2 linked regions of the Neodiprion lecontei genome follow. The protein of the gene in region 1 interacts with the protein of each later gene in a pairwise test. Links are inferred from orthologs where the notes say so. Each region holds a gene or a part of one and is shown in the gene's direction. Other genes may lie near its edges.

The links.
Region 2: the proteins of metaxin-1 (region 1) and metaxin-2 interact in a two-hybrid assay, tested with the Drosophila melanogaster proteins (2 studies listed by BioGRID). The link is inferred for Neodiprion lecontei from reciprocal best matches to the Drosophila melanogaster genes CG9393 and CG8004.

The regions. Positions count from the first base shown.
Region 1 is NC_060265.1:18,722,547-18,728,246, reverse strand, and holds metaxin-1, read left to right. Parts: upstream 1-2,180; 5' UTR 2,181-2,237; coding exon 2,238-2,318; exon of another isoform or gene 2,319-2,508; coding exon of another isoform or gene 2,509-2,535; exon of another isoform or gene 2,536-2,770; coding exon 2,771-3,021; exon of another isoform or gene 3,022-3,197; coding exon 3,198-3,363; exon of another isoform or gene 3,364-3,438; coding exon 3,439-3,825; exon of another isoform or gene 3,826-4,654; coding exon 4,655-4,729; 3' UTR 4,730-5,059; downstream 5,060-5,700. Other genes in the region: vacuolar protein sorting-associated protein 45, read right to left, coding at 5,220-5,418, 5,581-5,700. UniProt on the Drosophila melanogaster protein: Involved in transport of proteins into the mitochondrion. Essential for embryonic development.
Region 2 is NC_060264.1:31,956,193-31,960,774, reverse strand, and holds metaxin-2, read left to right. Parts: upstream 1-2,171; 5' UTR 2,172-2,297; coding exon 2,298-2,343; intron 2,344-2,691; coding exon 2,692-3,271; intron 3,272-3,419; coding exon 3,420-3,768; 3' UTR 3,769-3,953; downstream 3,954-4,582. Other genes in the region: 60S ribosomal protein L23, read right to left, coding at 193-389, 657-785, 1,055-1,138, 1,430-1,442.

The DNA.
Region 1 (5,700 bases):
AACGCATTGCTAATTGATCTGTCTTTTTCCGAATACCCGTAATCTCTAATGATAATTATATTTACTTTCTTTCTAATAACTGCGGGACATGTTGAACAAAAGCTGCATCATAACAATTATGATTGCTTATTAGTTAACAGTGAAATTAGTGTAATACCACAGTCATTATTGAATCGTGATCACATTTGTATAATAATAATAATTACCATACACAGTCATAATGTTGCGTGCAATTGACACACCAAATAGTCTAATTTTTTGATAATATTAATAATATAAGCAACAAAGAGTGTACAATACTATAACTTAGACATAACTCTTAGTCATATACACCTACCATAAATGTGTTTTTAATTTGAACAAAATTATTACATTATACTACGCGCATTACATGTAGATAGCTGAACTTTGGTTTTAAAAATAATAATAGTCATTTTAGGTGACACAGAAGAGAAAAAAGAATGCTCGAAGAAAAACTTTTGGTGTCACTACGACTACACATAATGAATTACTATATCAAGACAATTCTTGCTCTCTACAACTCAATATAGTAAACATATTCCTTTTCTTCAATCACATCTAAGCTATTATTATTTTATTTTTGAGTTTGAATACCTTTTTTGAATGTCTACTATATTAATTTCATTTTATTCCCATGTTCTACTAGACATATAATTTGAATGAAAAGAAATCTTGAAATATCTTCAACACGTGTTTGAGTATCAAATTTTATTATTGGTATCGCGTTTAATATAAATTTATAATTTGAGGCAGTTGGCTAAATAACATGACAGCATGTTGCTTCGTACCAAAAGATTTATCCAGAATTATCTGTAACATCAAACGATAAAAAAAAGATGTATCAACGTTTATTCTTGCTAGTATTTTTTATTTCTACTTTGGTTTTTTATTTGTACTACGTACTGTATTCCAATTGACCTCGTGCTAAAAAAAAATTAAAGGGACTCAAAGATGCGGTGTTATTGATTGGTCAGTTTTATTTTTATCTCTTAATTTTTTCTTTCTGTTTACCATATGAGTGTATGTTATCAATAATTGCTACTAGTATTCATGAAATACCTGGTATATAAATCCTAAATCATATTTTACCAGATTATTGTAATGCGCAAACTCTATATAAATGTAATATCAGCATGTGTTTGATTAGTGAAAAACATTTTGAAACCAACTTAAGCATAGGTCATATAATTGGTCAGAGGTCAATCAATTTTAAGTTGCATACTTGACTGCATAATTTCAATTACGTATACAAAAAATAATACGAAATCATAATGATGATGAGAAAATAAACCAGTATCAAAAATGGATAGAAATTTTTTTAAATATGCAGAGATATGTACTCTAAGTATAATCGATTGTGCCTCTGAAAAATACCTCCGAATGAATCAATTATGTTTTCAAATCATTATCTATAAGGCGTGTCTATATAATAGCTATTGGCAACTATAAGCATGTATATACATGATAAATATAATAATAAACCTAGAAAGTAATTATCAAGAAGAACACGAGCCGTTTCATTTCATCCTAAAATTAAAACAATCTCTGATAATTGACGGTGTTAGTTCAAACAAAAAGCAATCACAAGGGCATTCGTTTTTTGAATTCTAGTGGTTCAATAACTGAAGTTATGTATTTCCATCATGTAGGTAAAAAATTATACAGTCGCATCTTTGTTACCAAACTTGATTTCAAATAATACTAGTACATAGTTTCTAAATGAAACGATATATTATTATTCACTCAGCAGCAAAGCACTAAAAAAAAAATTCTCATATTAAAGTTCCATAGGAAAGCAAGTGTTTCAAGAAAGCTACACAAGAAAGACCTGTGTACTTGATTTGCAGATTGTAATTGTGGATTAAATAAATTTCATAGTTCCGTTTCAGCTTTTAGTATACCATACAAATATGATTACAATGCGGTATACATATACTCTGCGCGAGACTAGCTTCAGTTTCCTGATTTCCTGATGTGCAGGCGTATCTGAACATGAACCAAATTAACATTATATTATCAACTAGTTTACCTACCAGGATGGGATTTCGAACAGTCAATCGCGAAAAAATTGTGAAATTTCTTTTTTTTCACTGTTCGTCGTTGTTGGCGCTTGTCATGTTTACATAGGACAATCACGTGCGATTGGAAAACATTTATCACGCACTGGTAATATATTTATTTAATTGTCAATTTTTTGTGATTTTTCGAAATTCGAAATGAATGAGTCGTTTCAACTAGACGTCTGGAAAGGGGATTGGGGCCTTCCTTCTGTCGATCTTAAGTGCTTAAATATTTTGGTATGTTCTTCAGTCTTAGTAAGGTTATGATCATCAAACTTGCATTATTCCGCATCATTATTTTAACAGAAAAGCTTCTTATCACATCGCAGTTTTCAAGATTTGATTATTAATCCCATCTTCAAATTGACCTGCTGAATAATCAACCAGAATATCTTATACACAGTTAAAATATCGTACCCTACCATCAATGTTTTCACAACAGCGAGAACTTCAGGTGTTTAAATTCAACTTGATCTAGATGTTTCCACTTTGTACCTTGTATTGTCATCTATTGATAGAAATTTTTATTCCTCTTACTGGTTATATACTTGTGTAATTAACTGGTTCTCAGGCAAACTTTTTTTTTTCTTCAAAGACTTAAGTAGATTGATAATCATCTTTGTATTGAAACTTTACGTCAAAATTCTCACAGGTATTTTTTCCTCACATGTCCAATAATTATTTTGTAGGTCTATGCCAAATTTAGTGGAGTACCGCTCAAGATAAATCCTACTAATAATCCATTTCGGACACCAAACGGTGCACTACCTGTTCTCCGATGTGGTAGCGAGACTTTAGACTCAGTGAAAGATATAACTGCATTTTTTCGAAAAAAGAATTACACAGCTGATTTTAGTCTTACTCCTAAACAATGCGCTGAGGTCGTCGCATATGATACTATGCTTAAGGAGAAAATTTACCCGGCACTGCAATATGTTTGGTTAGTATAAAATAATAATCATTACCTACTAACTGTGCAGACAACAATCATGTCAAATCATCTCGTAGATCTGAATGAGTAAGTGGGAAATGTTAATTCATAGGCTTCAGAAACACGCTTGCGTGCATATGATTATCAATGCCCTAAACGTTAATTTTAGGTTTCAAATGTTACAGGTGGGTTGATGTAAAGAATTACAATGAATTCATACAGCCATGGTACGCCAAAGCACTACCTTTTCCTTTGAATTTCTTTTACCCTGGTAAATTTGAAAGACAAGCTAGGAACATGATGGAATCGCTGTACCCAACTGAAGGCGAAATCAGTGCCATAGAAAATGCGGTAAATAGAAATATTTTACAAATGCTAGTATTTATTTATTTGCACATCTTCAGTAATTATCAACTAAAATTGCAGGTGTATTCTGAAGCACAGAAGTGCTTGACACTGTTATCGACTCGGCTGGGAGAAAGAGAGTATTTCTTTGGCCCTCACCCTACGTCTCTGGATGCAATAATCTATTCATATCTTGCACCTTTGTTAAAAGCTCCACTGCCAAATCCTGCATTGCAAAATCACCTCAAAGCCTGCACAAATTTAGTCAAGTTTGTAACTCGTATATCTCAGAAATACTTTCCGGACATATGTCAAGAATATGAGAGGAAAAAAGCTGAAGAAAGTGTTAGAAAAATGCGAAGAGATTCAGAGAACGAATTTCCCCACAAGAAGAGAAACCAATTCCTTGCTGGCGTTTTTGCTACTGTAGCCATGGTCGGTTATGCTTTATCCACCGGCATTGTTGAGGTATGTAAGTAAGGATAAGTTGCATTAAAGCACTCTTAAATACAGCTCCAAGATATACACATAAATTATTAATAGATACTAGTCCAAGATTTATACAAACACAAAATTACGTGAATGATATTATTAAATGAGGCTTTAGACTAGTCTGTTACACCCATTCTTAATACTATGAGATCTCGATCTCACTGATCTTCAGTTCATAATTGCTAAGATAATGGTTTTTTTAACATTGTCACAAATCCTTTATCTCACATAGTTAACCAATCCTAATTTCATCATTATAACTTGTGTGAATTCCAATTAAAAACTTACAACAAGAATTGTTCGTCTTAGCTAATTGCATGGATGTGTCTGAAAAGGAAGATCTAATCTGTGTTTAAGTATGTTACAAAATTGTAAAAGCTATTGACTGATTCCGTATCAAAATTATCTCCCACACATCACAACAGAATTTCTGGAACAACAAATCGTTAAGGATCAGTAGGGCTCGAAAAAAGGATTTGTGAGCATAGATCTAAATTGATATAGGTCAATTCATAATCAATGTCATAATGTTAAAACCCCGGAGGTCCCTTACAGATTCCGAATAGAATGAAATTATGGGTGAAATCGGTAGGTACAACGAAAAATTCTCATCCAAATATGAAAATGTTATGGTCACTTGACAGATTCGTATCAAACAAAGAAACCTGGTGTTTTGGTATGTAATTTAGACATGCCCTATTAACGAACTGAGCATTTTCATACAAGTCTTTTCAAATTAACACCACACTTACTCCAATATTATGCGAAATAATCACTTGCGAAAAACATTATGTATCTGTTGAAGGTAACAAGAAATGATGACCGGATGTTGGAAGGGCCACCGGACTACATGCTTGAAGATCACACTAGAGATGAGTAGTATTTCGATATCAAATTGAATTTTAATCTCCAGAAGTGAAAACAATAAAAATTGTAAGATGTTAATAAATGGCCGTTATTTTCGAATAATGTTTACCCGCAAACTAGTACGTAGTCGTTCAATACTGTAAATCACAACTTTTTAAATCACTAGCTGTTTCTTTCAACTGAGATTATTCGAGTGATTTAGTTTAGACTTATAATCAATATTTGCAGTTATACGGTGAAGTTACTCAGATAAATTTTCATAAAAAAAACAGTTACTATCACGGTACAACGTATTATAAACGGACCAATGATTATGAAAGAAAATAAAAAAGAATGGCTTACATATCACTGACTAATGCAAATTCGGAACAGATACAGACATTATCCAGTGTTAACTATTGTGTACTTGAAGCTTGAGACACGTTTTATGCAACATAAGTGTAACAGCAGTGAAAAGTAATGCAAATAAATATTTAGTTACAGTATTGTTGAAGCTTTATTAGTTAGTTATTCCTACTTCGATATCTTCTTGTTATACTATTAGTAGCGCTTTGAATTTCCTCTGTGAACGTTTGGAAATTGTGAATTGTCGTACCACCTAAAATTATTTTTGTTCCTGGATTTTGTTTATTCCAATTATTCACAGCGAGACTTTCTTCATAAGTCGCACCGCCCACTATGAAAACAATAATTTCTTGAGGTCTGAAAATTTAGATGAAATCAAATACATGAGTACTGATTCGTGTAGTACCTACATTATATGGGAATTATTCATATTGCTTTGGAATATTATTATAATGAACATACCATTACTACGGTTTGCCATAATCAAAGAAGTATTCCAATAATATTCGTTCTAAATACCTTTTTGACATGACCATATTTCCTAAATAGGGGAAAGTTTGAGTGCTCAACCTTCCTTTCAACAGATCATCCAATGTTTCGACTAGCAATGGTTTATGTTGCGTATATATGTTATCTACG
Region 2 (4,582 bases), on another chromosome or scaffold:
GTCATGTTCTAACGACAAACTTGTTTTCAGAAAAATAGACTAAATCTTAATCTAAACAGAATGCACCTGATAGCATGACAATCATTTTACTATTCGTGACATTATACAAACGTATTAAACAGTAAATAAGTAAAGTACCGATGACGAGTCCAAATTGGTATTTATTGAGTCAACGGTATACAAGGTGTTATTTTAGGCGATGCTGCTGGCATTGGAGGCGATTCTTGGCCACAAATCGGCGCACTCTTTAGCTACTGGGCCAGTGATGGCTGAGCCTTTCATTTCACCTTTATTATTCACAATAACACCTGCGTTGTCTTCGAAGTATATGAATACCCCATCCTTCCTCCGGAAAGGCTTACGCTGGCGGATCACCACGGCAAGCATAACTGCAATAAAAAAAAATTATTTTTTACTCCATCATAAAGTCAAATTTTCACGCAAATCTTTTAAGCCAATAGTATCCATGTATACAAAGACACAGCACGACTAAACGTAAATGAAAAGTGTTCACCTAACCTAAAACAGACACTTGTAGAACTTGGAACATGCGTTGAATTGGGCAACAGCATGGCTTTGCAGTCGACTTTCATGATAACGAAAACAACTGAACATTGTCAGATGAACATATTAAGCCAGTATCGAGTTAAACGAACCTTTCTTTCTGAGTTCGGGCTTTCCCTTCTTAACAGTGGCAACAATCATGTCACCGGACCCTGCAGCAGGCAGTCTGTTGAGACGTCCCTTCACTCCTTGTACTGCGATTACATACAAATTCTTGGCCCCTTAAAAAGATATATCGATTAGATTAAACAAGAGACACAACAGATAGTGGCATGAGCGCAGCAAATTTTAATATGTGCATCTCATCGTGTACGCGCAGAGATCAATGTGAATGGTGAATCACGAACAGGATGAACTGCGTATAATTTCATCAAGTACGAACATATCGGAAAAAGAAGAATGTGAAGAATGAAGAATGATGATATGGACGAATGGTTGGAATAAGGACGTGGACACGCATAGTATTGACTTACGATTTGGACTAACTCACCCGTGTTGTCAGCACAATTGATAACTGCGCCAACAGGTAGACCCAGAGATATCCTGAATTTAGCTCCAGCGGAACCACCACGTCCTTAAACAGAAATATTAAAGTTGATAAACATCCATGAGGATCGCGTGGTCTCCGTTTGTTAGGTTATTCCCGTGTTCCGGAGCAAGACGTACGTCGCGTCGTATCGTGTTGTCGACAGGCGGCAAGTATTTATCACGCATCTTATTTCATCGTAAGGCACAAATAACGTTAAGTATACGTTTCGCATGACGCACACGTATCTTCCACGTTCGCTAAACACTCAAACGCGGTACGTCTCGCTCGGAAACGGCCGATTATTGCGGATTTATTTCGGCCCAAACTCGGGCTCACCTCGTTTCGACATCTTGCTTCGTTTGAAAGAGGAAGTCTGGGGCGCTCGATCTGTACTGCAGACCCCTGATCCAACTCTTGACGCGCATCATTTACACGCAGCTGAATACCAGCTGGTCAAAATTCGTACAAACGCGATGTCCCCAACACTCGTGGATCAGAAGATTGTGGATACATAAGGGGCTGAAAAATCATTGAGGTTTATTCTATCACCTTTACTTGATAATTAGAGGACTGGGTTAAGCTTATTGAAAATTTTCGTGGAATGATTCTCGAGTACTTAATTTGATCCGCAGCGGTCGTTCTGACATATCTAATTTTTGAAATAGCGCTGTGATCGATTAGTGTGCGGTGTGCGTATATAAATTTTCTCTAAATCGACTGTTTTCAGAATAAATCCTCAATTCGCAACAATTCATAAAGATGTTTTCAAAAGTTTACGAAACACTGGTTAGGAAAACAAAGGACCCTCTGCTCGGGGAGCATGTTATACAGACATTTGTCTCCGCCGTGGATTGCGAAGAGGTTATCGAACGTCAGCTTGGTCCTATCCCGACTTTTCGATTACAGAACATATTTTTCATTATAGCAGGATGACTCTCTAGCATCGACGCAGGGGTGCATGGCTATCTGCGGTGAAAAATATCTGGATATTCACGGTAATTTTAGTAAACAAACTGCATTATCACCTTCCGGTAGAACTTCAAAAATGCCCACATCTAACGAATACTTCGACCGCTCGATTCAGTAACTCGATAGCTCGACCTGCCGCAGACTCACGTCTCTTCTGCAGTTTGAAGCCCGCTTTTACTTAGTTGACTAAATTAATAAACGGAGTAAGTTCATCGCCGTCAAAATAATTGTCATAATGCCAGACGTTCTACTCTCAGATACGATAGCGATGGAGTTAGGAGGTAAATTTCAGACACTAATCGTAACCTCTTGAGATCTTACGCGTGCTTCGACTCTACCCTAACCTAACCTAACTTGACTCAGGTTATCTTTCAGAACAACGTTGCCACTTTATCGTGGCAGAATCTGTATTTAACACGACGAACCTTAACTCTTGTAAAATATGACGTATATGTAATCAAACCTAGTCAAACTTTACTCAAATCCAGTATATCAATTCCCCGTTGCAACCTAACCTAGCCTTGGTAACAGAAACTGACCTAACCGTAACCTAACATAACCTTATGTAATCCTGTTTGAACCCCTCAGAAATTATCTATGAATTTTGCTCTCCGACTATTTACTCTTAGCTCAAGAGCCTTGGCCGCAGCCGATAAAATTGTATCAGCCATATGAGGTCGAGCAAATTCTGCTCCCTGACAATGCAAACTGCCTGGCGGTCCAAGCGTACTTAAAAATGTGCGGTCTGGAGTTCCAAATTGAACCGAGAAGCAATGCGGAGTACATGTCTCCCTCAGGAAGAGTCCCTTTTATTCAATGTGGGGCTTTCCTTGTATCGGAGTTCGACCCGATCGTGTCTTTCATCAGCAGCAAGGGTTCTAGTCTTTCTGGAGAGCTTGGGGCAACTGATAAGGCTGACATGCGAGCCTACATATCGCTTGTTAATAATGTGCTAGTTAATGCTGAACAGTATGTTTGCTGGGTAGATCAGGCCACCTTGATTTCAGTCACCAAGCCCAGGCACGGCAGTGTCTATCCTTGGCCTCTCAATCATCTTCTTAACTGGCAAAAGCAAAATCAGATTACAAAGAAACTGAATGTCTTGGGCTGGTACAATAAAAGTCTTGACGAGGTATTCGGTGAGGTCAAAAACTGCTGCACAGCACTTGCCGAAAGGCTTGAAGGAAAAACTTACTTCTTTGGTGATGAGTGAGTATCTGACTTATATTTTTTACATTCAGCTGATACGGAATATAAATACTTCGTGGCAATCATAAAAATGATTGGAAGTACAAAAAAGATGCGAGATAATTGATATTTAAGACCATCCCTAAATTACAATTCTTTTTCCCCCAAGGCCAACTGAATTGGATGCTTTAGTGTATGGCCACATTCATGCCCTAACCACCACACCCTTCCTTCCCTCTGTCTGCGGAATGTCTGCAACAATAGGCAGATTCCAGCAGCTCATTGAACACTGTCGATTGGTGAACACTCTTTATTTCAAAAAGGAATCAGATATTTCTGTAGGCCAAGTGTATCTGCATGATACCATGTCCCAAGATTCATTTTGCAACTCTACCGGATCCCTTGAATCCCTTTTCCCTCTCACAGAAGATTCATTCGCCATGTTGAAAGCGAATGAAAAGAATGATTCCTTGGAAGAAACCTGCCATCTAGATTTAAAAGAATTTGTAATTGGTTAAAATCTTGGTAGTTTGATAGTCAATTTTTATTCTCACCAATTGTCAAATGTACCGATATTGTTTAAGACATGTGGTAGACCTTTAGAGCTTTATTATAAACTACTATCTACAAGTACGTGCAATAAAGTTCCATGCACTTTCAGGTCCTTCAAATTTCTTTCATATTTTAACTTACAACAACGTTTAAGATAAGATCTCGAAATTATAGCAGTCCAAATGAACTGGATGCTCTGGCCTTTGGACACATCTTCACCATCCTTACGACACCACTGCCTAACAATTCATTGGCTAACATCGTCAAGAGCTATCCGACCTTGGTCAACTTGTGTAAGCGAATCGAGGCCAGGTACTTCCAACGCACAGAGGACGACTAAATTCAGTTGATCAAGCCTCATGAGATGGGTGGCCTGTTGTAATCCTCAAGACTAAAATCTCCCCTACGCTTGAAAATTGAGAGATGGAAGATAAGTTGAATGAAAATGAAACAAAAAGTCAGGATTTCTCTGCTGAAACAGAACAAAAATCAATCCCTGGTTGTGAGAAATCCGTTTTACCGGTTTTCATTCGCATTTCAGAAGTAATTTTTTCAAAATTAATAAAGTTGCAGTTAGATTAAAACGGGCCACACTGTAAATTAGTGAATTTGGTTATAGTGTACTATAACCACACTGCCAAACGCTGCGAAGAAATATTGTTCAAATATAGTGGAAAGATTCGTGAAAATGTCTGAGAAGCAATTTAACACAAAGTTAATCCTCTCTGCATTTATGCAATTCAAGGTACATTTTACCGATCGAAATTTGTTCATTTTACA